3 linked regions of the Xenopus tropicalis genome follow. The protein of the gene in region 3 binds, or shares a complex with, the protein of the main gene of each other region. Links are inferred from orthologs where the notes say so. Each region holds a gene or a part of one and is shown on either strand. Other genes may lie near its edges. The genes, in order: naa20, ppia and snca.

What was found.
Region 1: the proteins of snca (region 3) and naa20 are in contact, whole or in part, in a cryo-EM structure (PDB 7STX), measured with the Homo sapiens proteins. The link is inferred for Xenopus tropicalis from reciprocal best matches to the Homo sapiens genes SNCA and NAA20. Residues at the interface, in NP_000336.1 of Homo sapiens: Met1, Asp2, Val3, Phe4; in NP_057184.1 of Homo sapiens: Leu23, Thr24, Glu25, Tyr27, His73, Val74, Thr75, Ala76, Leu77, Ser78, Leu110, Phe111, Tyr137, Tyr138, Ser139, Ala140.
Region 2: the proteins of snca (region 3) and ppia are in contact, whole or in part, in a crystal structure (PDB 6I42), measured with the Homo sapiens proteins. The link is inferred for Xenopus tropicalis from reciprocal best matches to the Homo sapiens genes SNCA and PPIA. Residues at the interface, in NP_000336.1 of Homo sapiens: His50, Gly51, Val52, Ala53, Thr54, Val55, Ala56, Glu57, Lys58; in NP_066953.1 of Homo sapiens: Arg55, Ile57, Phe60, Met61, Gln63, Gly72, Thr73, Lys82, Ala101, Asn102, Ala103, Gln111, Phe113, Glu120, Trp121, Leu122, His126, Arg148.

What each region holds. Positions count from the first base shown.
Region 1 is NC_030681.2:36,941,220-36,944,973, forward strand, and holds the start of naa20 (N-alpha-acetyltransferase 20), read right to left. Parts: upstream 2,604-3,754; 5' UTR 2,569-2,603; coding exon 2,516-2,568; intron 1,697-2,515; coding exon 1,672-1,696; intron 1,105-1,671; coding exon 1,014-1,104; intron 337-1,013; coding exon 201-336; intron 1-200. UniProt on the Homo sapiens protein: Catalytic subunit of the NatB complex which catalyzes acetylation of the N-terminal methionine residues of peptides beginning with Met-Asp, Met-Glu, Met-Asn and Met-Gln. Proteins with cell cycle functions are overrepresented in the pool of NatB substrates.
Region 2 is NC_030679.2:126,271,033-126,274,786, forward strand, and holds the start of ppia (peptidylprolyl isomerase A (cyclophilin A)), read right to left. Parts: upstream 2,624-3,754; 5' UTR 2,541-2,623; coding exon 2,472-2,540; intron 1-2,471. UniProt on the Homo sapiens protein: Catalyzes the cis-trans isomerization of proline imidic peptide bonds in oligopeptides.
Region 3 is NC_030677.2:78,431,533-78,435,286, reverse strand, and holds the start of snca (alpha-synuclein), read right to left. Parts: upstream 2,417-3,754; 5' UTR 2,133-2,416; intron 1,731-2,132; exon of another isoform or gene 1,625-1,730; intron 1,585-1,624; exon of another isoform or gene 1,500-1,584; intron 1,167-1,499; 5' UTR 1,142-1,166; coding exon 1,021-1,141; intron 1-1,020. UniProt on the Homo sapiens protein: Neuronal protein that plays several roles in synaptic activity such as regulation of synaptic vesicle trafficking and subsequent neurotransmitter release.

The sequences.
Region 1 (3,754 bases), on a different chromosome or scaffold from region 3:
CCAAGTGACTTTTACTTTATTTCTCCTTTAAATGCCAGTCATACAACAATCATGTTAGGCTTGGGCAGGTTAGGATTTTACGCCTCCCAGGACACAAAAGGGCACAATTCCTGTAAAACTGTCATTATCAGTTTAAAGACAACATATATTTTATATTTGTGTGTCCATTTAAAAATAAACAAGAAATCCACATTTGTCACCTTTCAGAAATTTCTTCTAGTAACTCCATTAGTTTAGCTGCTAACCCGAGACGTCGGAATTCTGGTGCGACAGACAGTGCAGTGACGTGTCCATGCCATTCCTCTCGTGCTACTGAACCCTCGGCTTTTCCCATTACTGCAAACAAGGTTATTCAGGGTACACGTTAGGACTTATTATTTCAGCAATTCCTGCATTTAAGTCAAGGTAATACATGGGCTCATTAAGTTGGGTTATGTACAATAGGAGCATGAACGCTGCCTGAACTTCCAGAAATAAATGTGCATTTCTCTAGAGACTATTGCTTCCTTCATATGGCGTGCAGGCTCTGTTAGTACGTGCCTAAGGTGGCGGAAACATGTTTTGAGCATTAGGTGCTCTTTAGGACTTTGCAAGCATACCATATTAAACCCATGTTAATTGACCTGGAAATTTAATACTGAACTATATCTTATATAGGGTATATAAGGGTGCTTGCTGCAGTTTTCATTCTTTTTAACATGCAAGATGCACAACTGCTGCAATAAACACATACTTTTATAATTAAAATGTTTGTGTGTTGGATAAACGCCAACTCCAAATCAAACAAAGGCTGTTTTACTTGGGAAGGTGCATCAATGATGTATTGGTGTAATGGATATGCCAATTAGAGATACAATTTTATTTATAAACACTACTATTTATAGTTATTACAGACCCTTTGGCATGACCTGGAATTCCCAGTCTGTGGCCCGGCAGCCGTGGTTGCTAAATATAAAGAGCTTTAGATTACAACCTGTGCATTACCATGACCAATGCCTTATAATAGTACTTACTGTAACCCATGAGTTCTCCACCTGGTGCCTCTGCAACAATAAAATATTCAGGCCAGTGTGCCAAATACTGCAGGTAAAAAGGAATGCCATACTGGAGTCCTGCAGTTAAGGGAAAAAGTGAGGGTATGTCCCAAGCATTTATGTTATTACTATGATATAAATCAAACCAAAACCAAAGATTAATCCGTGCTAGTGTGCTGTCTTGACAAAACACCAAAAGAACATTTGGATGACTCTAATCAGATACTTAAATTAAACAAGAAAATTGAAGCTACTCCATGTTTGGTCCTTGTGATGTAGATAATTGGATTATCAGTGCACAGACAAACTTGGTGCAGAAATAAAAGGCATAATTACTTGAAAATGCTGTCTTCCACATTTTCACATAATTACACCAGTTTGCTGTATGTAAGGTTTCTTTTATATGGCAATTTCAATTTATGCGGCTGGAAAGGCATTGTTTAGGCATTTGTGTCCTTTACCCCATGCACTAAAGCAGCCCTTAAGTGTACTGAGAAAAGCACTGAATATGTCCATGCAGGTGGCACAAAGTGACATTTGGCTAAAATGTAAGACATTTTTCTGTCATACTGTAGCCCTTTTTTTTTTTTTACTATGGGATGAATGCTCAGCAGGTTGAGTTGAACAAAAAGGATACAGTCTCAGTTAATGGATCCAGGTTGCTGCAAAAGGAAAAACAAGCAATTAGTAATCCTCATCCTCCCTAGTGATTATTATATGCAATATTATCCATACCATAAAAGCTAGAAGGCTGATAGTTCCAGGGTGTATGTAAACCTCTTTTTCTTGGAATATATATTTATATCATAAATGATGTGCAAGGGAGAGAAATATTATATATAGGTCAGACTATGAAAGTTCCCATTCCAAAGGTGTATAGTAGGCACTGTACTGGGATTCTTATCCTAATGTTCAAGAGAACTAAAAGGGCTTATCTGAATACAAATGCCACCCCACATGGCCCAACCTAGGTTTTTTGTTTTTAGTGGTTATGTAATTAGAGTCTGTTACAGGGCAATTCCCTATACCAACCAAATAGCAGGTACCATTTACTGGTCTACCCTTTAAAGGCAAACCTTATTGGTTGCTATTGACATGAGCAAACATACACTTTGCCAATATTGTTGTATCAGTCAGCTCCTTAAATCAATTTTTCCTGCTGCAAAGCCAAGCAGTCCCTTTCAGATTGGCCATACAACAGTCTATGGTGGCTACCTACATGTTTACTCTGCAAACACACCCTTGGTACATGCAACATAAACAAACACAGTATATTACACAAGCAGCTGCAAGGTTAATGGGTTCCCCTAGAGTACTTTATAACATTAGGGCAGCTAAGTAGGCGCCCATTCTGTGTAGCAGCGCCATGTCCCCGCACAGGCAGCTCCTTCCCCTCAGCAGCCACATTCCCCCAGACATATAACAATTCCCAGCAGCCCACATCACAATCTGCCGGACGAAGCTGTCTCCTCATATCTTACATGTTGTTAAATCGAAACAAGTCATCGCATGTGAACGGTCTAAGCGATGTCATTTTCTCGTGAAGTTTTAGAACACCCAAAGAACCACGCCGGAAGTCAAACCTCTGCAGCCACCGTACTGACAGTGACGTCAACTTACTGGCGGAAGCTCGGCTGAGTGTAACGTAAGTGCTCCCAGGGAAACGCTCATATGATCGTGCTGTAAACCAAGCTTGGAGTTTCAGTGTAACCACAAACTAGGTCACCGTACGAATACACTATAATAAATGTCTTTCAGTTTGGTTTATTGTAAAATGAGATTGTTGCTTTAAAGATACAACCTAAGTACAACCTTCCCAGTGTGTATACTCATGAGTTACAGGGATGTTGGTTACAGAATGAAGATTTGTAAGTGATTATAAACATAATACAGGCTTTGTGATAGCGGGTTGTCAGTCTATGATATTGTGGTTTTATTGTTTCAGACAATACATGTACATGCTCAGTTAAAGATATGCCAACCTGCCCAATTGTTTGGGGTCCCTCTGAAACCTTCCGGTAAAGCCAAGTCTGCTTCTGGCCCCTGTTTCGTTTACCTAGCCAGTAAAATACCAGCCAAGGATGGGTCTGGTAAATTTGTAATTACCTTAAACTGGGGTTGCCACCTTTTCTGGAAGAAAAAATACCGGCCTATATTTTTATTTTTCTTCTCTATTAATAACATTGGGATCAAGCATCATTTTTACTTGCCAGGTGGCAACCATACCTTAGGCCAGTGCTGTCCAACTGGTGGCCTCTGTGTGGCCCCCCACCTGTCTGGCTGCTTTGATGTCTTACCTTTGTGTAAGATTTAAATCGTATCAGTACTGAGATTAACTGCCCTCCCTGCATGGTTCTCACCTCAGATTCAGGCTTTAAACCCCCTGTATGTCAGTATGAGAATATGACACACACAGGCAGCATAGGGCAGGCAGAGTATGGCACACACAGGCAAGGTAGGGCAGGCAAAGTATGGCACACACAGGCAGCATAGAGCAGGCAGAGTATGGCACACACAGGCAGCATAGGGCAGGCAGAGTATGGCACACACAGGAAGCATAGGCCAGGCAGGCAGAGTATGACACTCACAGACAGCATAGGGCAGGCAGAGTATGGCACACACAGGCAGCATAGGGCAGTCAGAGTATGGCACACACAGGCAAGGTAGGGCAGGCAAAGTATGGCACACACAGGCAGCATAGGGCAGTCAGAGTATGGCAC
Region 2 (3,754 bases), on a different chromosome or scaffold from region 3:
TACCCACCAACCCTTTGGCTTTTGCTCCCAGTGGCCTCAAACAGGTGCTTATATTTGAATTCCTGGCTTGGAGGCAAATTTTGGTTGCAAACAGACCAGCCTGTAGGCTGCCAAATAGCCAATCACAGCCATAATTTGGTACCCCAGGTACATTTTTAATGCTTGTGTTGCTCCCCAACTTTCACATTTTAACCGTCTCACAGGTATAAAAGACTGGGGAGCCCTGGATTAAGGACACGCAGATTAGAAGGCTGGCCCTGGCATGACCTGACTGGGGAGTAGACACCACAGGGAAGTGCCGAATACAAAGATGCCTGGTTGCAGCACAGAACACATCTCCCACTTCCTGGCTATTTATGAAGTGTTGATCCCTTGCAGATGCCTTGAGACTTTATGAAGACAAACAATAAACTGCTGCCAAGAGTCCAAGCCTGACACCACTAGACGGATGGTTTGTAACTATATTGCACTGCTCGTCAGCATACAAACCTTAACCTGGCCATACATGCACAGTACTGACCGAGCCCCTTCTTGTATGGTCACTCACAGCACCCATCCGTATTACTGACCAGCACATGGCCATTTCTGGGGGATTGGGGGGGCGGCATTACCCAGGGCACATAACTACCTTCTGTTGTCCGATACCCCACTGTAGCTTTTATGCCCTTAATAATGCAGCATGGCATATGCAAGAGCATTAATATTTAACCATGAGAGGGGACAGGCATGCCAGGCAGTTCATTGTGCAAGATGTAATAAAGTTAAAGTGAACCTTATTACATCAGCAGGAGTCGTGCCCTTGCTTAGGCAGGAGACCAACGCATTTGGTGCAGTGTTGCTAGCCCTGCATACCAGTGTTAGAGGGGGAACCATGGCACAAAGATGGCAGGAAGGCAATGCCTATGCTTGATTATGGCAGACCACCACCACGTGAAGCAAAAAAAGGCTCATGCAGGGGAAGGATTAACATGACTGCAGAACTGAAAATGCCTTATATGGCTTCAGTTACGTCGCTATAAGTCTATAAATAGCAGATTTAACCCCTGTATGAAGCGCAGTAAGTGCATGCAGATTGGACACCCTGGGACAGAGAAACCCATGCAGCCACAGTTCTGTACATAGTAATATAAAGCATTTACCATCCCCTATATAGCCATCAGTATGCACTATATCTACCATATAACATACACACCATGTGGATTTGCTGGCTCAGGCACTGCAGTAAGAAAGGGAGAGGGGCCTGCATGCCACCAAGGGGACAGTAACCCTGACAGCACCTCACGTACTTGCCCCTCAGCTCCAATCCCTTTAGACACAAACCATGCAGAGCGACTACATCAGCTTTCCCCTGGCACCAATACACAATGGCATTACCCATGCACCCAACATGCACTGCTGGGGCCCCTAAAGCACTCCCTGCATTAGCCTGAGGGAACAATAAGCCCTCACTGACAGGCTTTGTGCATAAAGCCTTTAGGCCAGGCAGCAGGTGTATTTCCCACAGAGCGGTGTCTCCTCGCTAGGGCACGGCGTGATTAAAGCCCTTTGAATTCTACACTAAATATACCCGCCATGCCCACACCCCAGCAAGTGGGGCATCCCACAGGGCACACCTACCCCGCACTAACACAGGGCTGAGCAGCTCAGCAACCAAGCAGACATTTTGAGAACAAGAAATCTTCACATTACTTGATTTCTTCTAAAATGGATTCCTCCTCCCCCTCCATAGAAGTGACACACGGGAGGCGGGCTCTCCCAGCCAGCGAATAAAGGGCCTAGTATAGTAAGACCTAGCAACAGACATTCACTTGTACCATATTTACAGTAAATGATATATAGCCACCCTCAGCAGCCCCCAGCTCTTGCACCAACATGTGGCAGAACTACCCTCCCTGTACTTGCCTCCGCTAGGAATGCTGGGAGCTGTAGTCCGACCATTTTGCCCAATACGCTGCCCAGCGGATGTATCACAGCCATAACTATCAAACAGCGAATGAACTCGCTGCACAGCAGGACATGATACATTAGTGATACAGTTACATTGTCATTTTCTTTATATTAACGACTAGAAGGCGTCAAGTTACCCCCCCAACCAAGAGCCTAGTGTATCACGTGACACCGAGGAAACATGTATGCGGTAAGAATAACGCTGCAATACAGCCAGCAGATTCACCCGGGGCTGGGGGAGACGGCCAGACCCGCAGCGCAGTGACGCCCCCGCACCATGCAGCAAACAATGGAACCCCCCCCGGCCCATTCCATCGTGTTACAGTCATGTGACCGGCTCACCCCATCGCTCCAGCTAGCCCCAAGCACCCATGGGAGCCGCACTCACACACACAGGAACATGGCACACGCAAAGAAAGTGCAACCGGACTCTATCAAACCAGCAGTTTCTGACATTCTCACAAATGGCGCCAAGACTTAATGCCACCCCCCTCCCCCGACAGTAAAGAGTCTACTCTCATTACCTCCATGATAATACGGCCCATCGGGCAGCCATCAACGGCGATGTCGAAAAAGACCCTGGGTAAAGCCATAGTGCAGAATGAAAATAAACAGTGCCTTGCCGTGAGCGCAACGTGCAGCTTCCTAACCCCCTGAACTCTAAACAGCCCAAGAGAACCACGGAAAAGAGCTTAAAAACGGAAGCGGGGCTGATATTATATGAGAAGCTTGGCCCCGCCTGGCATCGTTTAAGGGAAACACACCAATAGAATGGTTCCATGGTACTGATTGACAGCGCGGCGGGCCAATAGTAGGCTGCAGGAGAGCTCATAAGGTGTGGCACAGAAGCGCGGGAGTCCTGGGCGCGGCCTGTAGAGGTGCGGTGAGGGCCGGTCCGGCTGTGACGCGGGGAGTGGCTGCCTTCGCTTTGGGCTATAACTCAGGGTTAACACTATTCAGCGGATAGGGTAATCCGGCATGCATTTGTGGCTTTATACGACATTGCTGGAAAGCGTTCTTCATAACGTATAGCTGATGAATGGCTAATAGTAAGTGTAATAGCTAGTTCTGGCAAGCCCTTCAACATACTTCTTTCTGTAGGTGCACTAAAAAAATTTGCAGCGTTGCAGTAAAGTGAGAGTGGACTGCAGCGAACCAAACCCGGTGTAATAGGGATTTTGAGTGTTTTTGTCGCCTGAGCGTTTTGTAACTCAGCTGTTACCTTCTGGAGCACTGAAACATTATTTTGCCCAGTCCTGCTCTTAAGGGCAAATGCCCATACCTGGTGCACTCTTACCTTCCAGTTTGTGCCTGTATGTTACCCAACCACTCAGATTGTAAGCTCTACGGGGCAGGGACCTCCTTCCTACTGTGTCTCATACCACATGGCACTTATATATATATAGATATAGATATATATATTTATTGTATTTATTTATTATATCACTTGTCCTCCCTGTGTGTAATTTTGTATTCTGTAAGACTGTACAGCGCTGCGTACCCTTGTGGCACTTTATAAATAAAGTTATACATACAATGGCGATACAGCATTATAAATTGCTTTCCATTAATTCGAGAGGCATTTGCCTGCTCAGTGCTGAGGTGATTACTGCTCCAAAGCGTCTCTTAGTTATAATTGCTTGAGCTTAATAAGAGGTAAACAAGGACAATGCTTAACTGCTTTGACGCCCATCTATAGAGCTACAAAATAGGGGACAAAACGTGCAGATGTGACCCATGTGGCGACCGTAAAATAAAGTGATAGGTGTGTTTATAAATGTAGAAGCCAGGTGGCCACCGGTGATTC
Region 3 (3,754 bases):
CTCAGATTAAACATTAGAGTGCTCAAACCAACCAAAAATGTTTATCAAAGTAAGTTTTGCCTGTGTAAGCCTGCAGTCTCAGTTGCATGAATTTTACAGCATAAAGTTGCTGTTTGCAAATACATCACTAATAATGGCGGGTGGGTGAAAGCTACTATCTGTTTTAGGAAAATAATATGGTGCTGGTGAACTTTGGGGATATATGCAGTACAAATGATGCTGTCTGAGTGAGGGAGATGTACCCAAATTATATACATAATAGGAACATGTAGGGTTTACACAAGAGAACTAAGGACATTTAGTTTTGTGTTATTATTAAAATGTAGTGTACTGGACCACAACTCAGGTCTTTTGTAGGTTTCAGGGGGCAGTGTGTCCCATAATCTTCCCTAGTTGACCTTTCTGGTCTGGTTCCTATGCCTCTTTCCTTTGCCTGAGCACTTGGAGAACTATATTGATGTGTTCACCCTTCTATTTTACAGATCTGTAGAATATATTGAACTATGTTCTTTCTATCCCTCTCCCTAATTTTTTAATTGTCATTATAAAGAGTAGCATTTAAATTTAGTCATTATTTATTTGTATTGTGTAAATTAGATTTGCAATATACCTTCAAAAGAAACAACACTTTGTAAAATCATAATGTAAAGAATATGTGTAACAGGCTACAATGTGATTAGAACTGGGCAATCTATTATCAAGCCTACAGTTTCTGTAGTGGTCTGTCTTGTGGCTTACAAAACTGTACAGTGGGCTATTGCTTCTAAAACAGACATGTATGGGATTTACCACCAAGGAGATCCTCTGTGATCTCCAGGGGTTACAGATCCATTCTGCCATGGACAACTACTGCTACAAACTTCTACACAATAAACAAATGTTAAAGGGTATTTGCATTTGTATTCCAAGGACACGGAAGACAAATGATAGATCCTATTGTGTTTTTTGCAGGGTGATGAAAAATGGAGATAAGGATTGTAATTGAACAGATGACATTATATTGATTAGTTTTTTACCTACCTACGTAGAGAACACCCTCTTTTGTCTTTCCTGCTGCTTCTGCCACTCCCTGTTTGGTTTTTTCTGCAGCTGCCACAACACCCTCTTTAGCTTTAGAAAGCCCTTTCATGAATACATCCATAGCTAATAAATTTATTCTAGTGGCTCTGCAAAAGACAAATGCATACAAACACATTAGGACAGGTCATTTGATTATAGTGTAACTCATTACATTTGAACAGCATCTACAAAATAAAATATCTGTAACTGATTAGTATAGGATTTAAAAAACAATCTCTCGGTGCAACCCTTGTCTATCCTTAATCAGTCCAATCAGCAAGATATGCTATATATATGTATTATATTGCCAAAAATGGATTTCTGAAACATGAAACGCCATTTGTCTAATACTTCTTTACTACATTACAACATGCAACAGAGTATTTCAACAGGACGAGTCGGTCTATGATGGTAGTATTTTACAAAGGTCTGTAACTTACCAAAATATTGTAAATAATAATGCAATAGCTGTTGTCAGGATGAAAAAGCTTTACAATAATTATTTTTAATCCAACAAAAACTTTATTCTTAAGGAAAAAAGATAATCCCTGTTGTTAAAATGTACCTAATTATTTAAGATGTTTGATAGGTGATGAAGATCAAAGTGTATGTATGTCTGTGATTGTGAGAGTCTCTCTTTATACAGATATGTATGAGTGTGTGTGCAAGAATGAATATTTGAGTGTGTTTGTATGCAAGAGTGGTGCTGTGTATGTGTGAGAGAGTTTGTGTGGGGGTGGTTGAGGGAGAGTCAGAGAAAGGGAATGGGAGAGAAACAGACACAATATACCGTACTTCACACAGGCAAAAAGATTAAAGATAAAATTGAGCATTTAACCCACAGAAACCTTCATACTTCCTATTCTCCTTATATAAGACAAACAACCATGTGCATCATTCTCCGTTGCATTAAGGACACAGGTGACAAGCTATCCCGTGAGCAACTGTCAGCTGCTTAAACTAGGTCTGGGTGAAAATGCCAGATAGAACATTTAAAAAAGCTCATAGTGAGCAGAATAAATACACTTAATATCCTACATGGCATGTTATATAGATGTAAATGCAATACTTACATTAACCTTTGCTCCCCAAAATTAGTCCAACAGGAATGATATCTGTGCGTGTATAAACAATAAAAAAGGAATCAAGTCTCTTCTTCAGTACATAACTGCCAAATAAATCCCCTGAGAGGTATGTGCATATGTAACAACCTGATGGAATCAAAGCATTCAAAGCAGGTACCAGAGAAACCACACCTATCAGCTCTTCATAAACAGAAGGAATTTTAGAAGGGGTAAAAAATAAGAGATTAATACTTTTACTCAGTAGGAGCAACCTATGTCCTCCGTATTTTTCTTCCCTTCCCCTACACCCTCCACACCTCCCTCCTCCCGTCTTTCCTTTCCACATGCCTGATTTGTCAGTGTGAAAATTGAATAATCGTAGCCAGCCTCCCCAAGCTGGACCACTTGTAATCCGACTGCTGCTCGAGCAAACAATGAGAACCATTATCAACAGAAATATTTGAGATTAAGAGGTCTGCCTTGCATCGGAAAATTATTGTTCCCGTCACCTTCATTTGTAATGTAGGTGCTGGAAAGCAACAATCAAATCTGCCCACAAAACACCACCAACAAAAAAGAGTAATATCGTCTACTACAGACATGCAAATGATCTGCTACCTTACCCTAGCAGCTGCTGTATGCCTGCTGTGCTGAATTATTTATTGCTAAATATCTGCACTTGCCACAATAAATATTTCTTACAACAAGCTTGCAGTCACTAAGGTGATAGCAGATATGTAACAGGCAAGCATTTAAGCGCTCTCTCCAATTACTAATGACAGTAAGAAGAGAAGAATAACACTAAACAGCTAAAATATTACAAAGCCTTACCAAAACTGAATTCTAGTATTTACTATATTATGTAGATGGTTCCTTTCAACCCAGGGAATTGGTCAGTGGAAGGACAATGTAATTATGCCCTAAATACTCCAATTCATAACTGTAACTAAAGAATGTGGAACCTTTAGATAATTACATTTTGCAGACCCATTCTGGTTACTGGTAATGATAACATCTTATTATCAACCTTATCCACAATAATTCATTCTGACCATTATCCATGCACTGCTATGAAATGCTATAAGATCAGCAACCAGTTTCATTCCTAAAAAACAGGAGTACTATTATTATCATCCCTTATTTACATATTATATATATATATATATATATATATATATATATAGTAGTAAGAAACCAGGAAAACAAATAAATCCCTTGGGAAACTACAACCAAATGGTACCCAGTAGAGAATCAATCTATTTTTCCAACACAGCAAGGCTTCCAAGCTAATTTAAGTGCTCATTTTCTAATCCCCAGGTTACATGTGCAAGAGTGCGACACTTAATGCCTTTTTGCACTTTACACAATGTATTGTGTGTGTGGTACAGTACATAACCCCTTTGTTATTCAAGAAAGCTACAACGACAGAGGAATAATTCACAGAATTGTTCTGAAGATTCTTCTGTTGGAGGAGAGGTGTCTTTTAAAACAATATGCAAAAAGTACAACTAGCACAAGCCCTACTAATTGAACTCATGTTAAACAAGGGGGTATGTTGCTCCTGTACTTCAAAAAAGACATGGCATCTGTCACACAAAAAGCCCATTTCATTTTGTGCATTTGTGATTTGT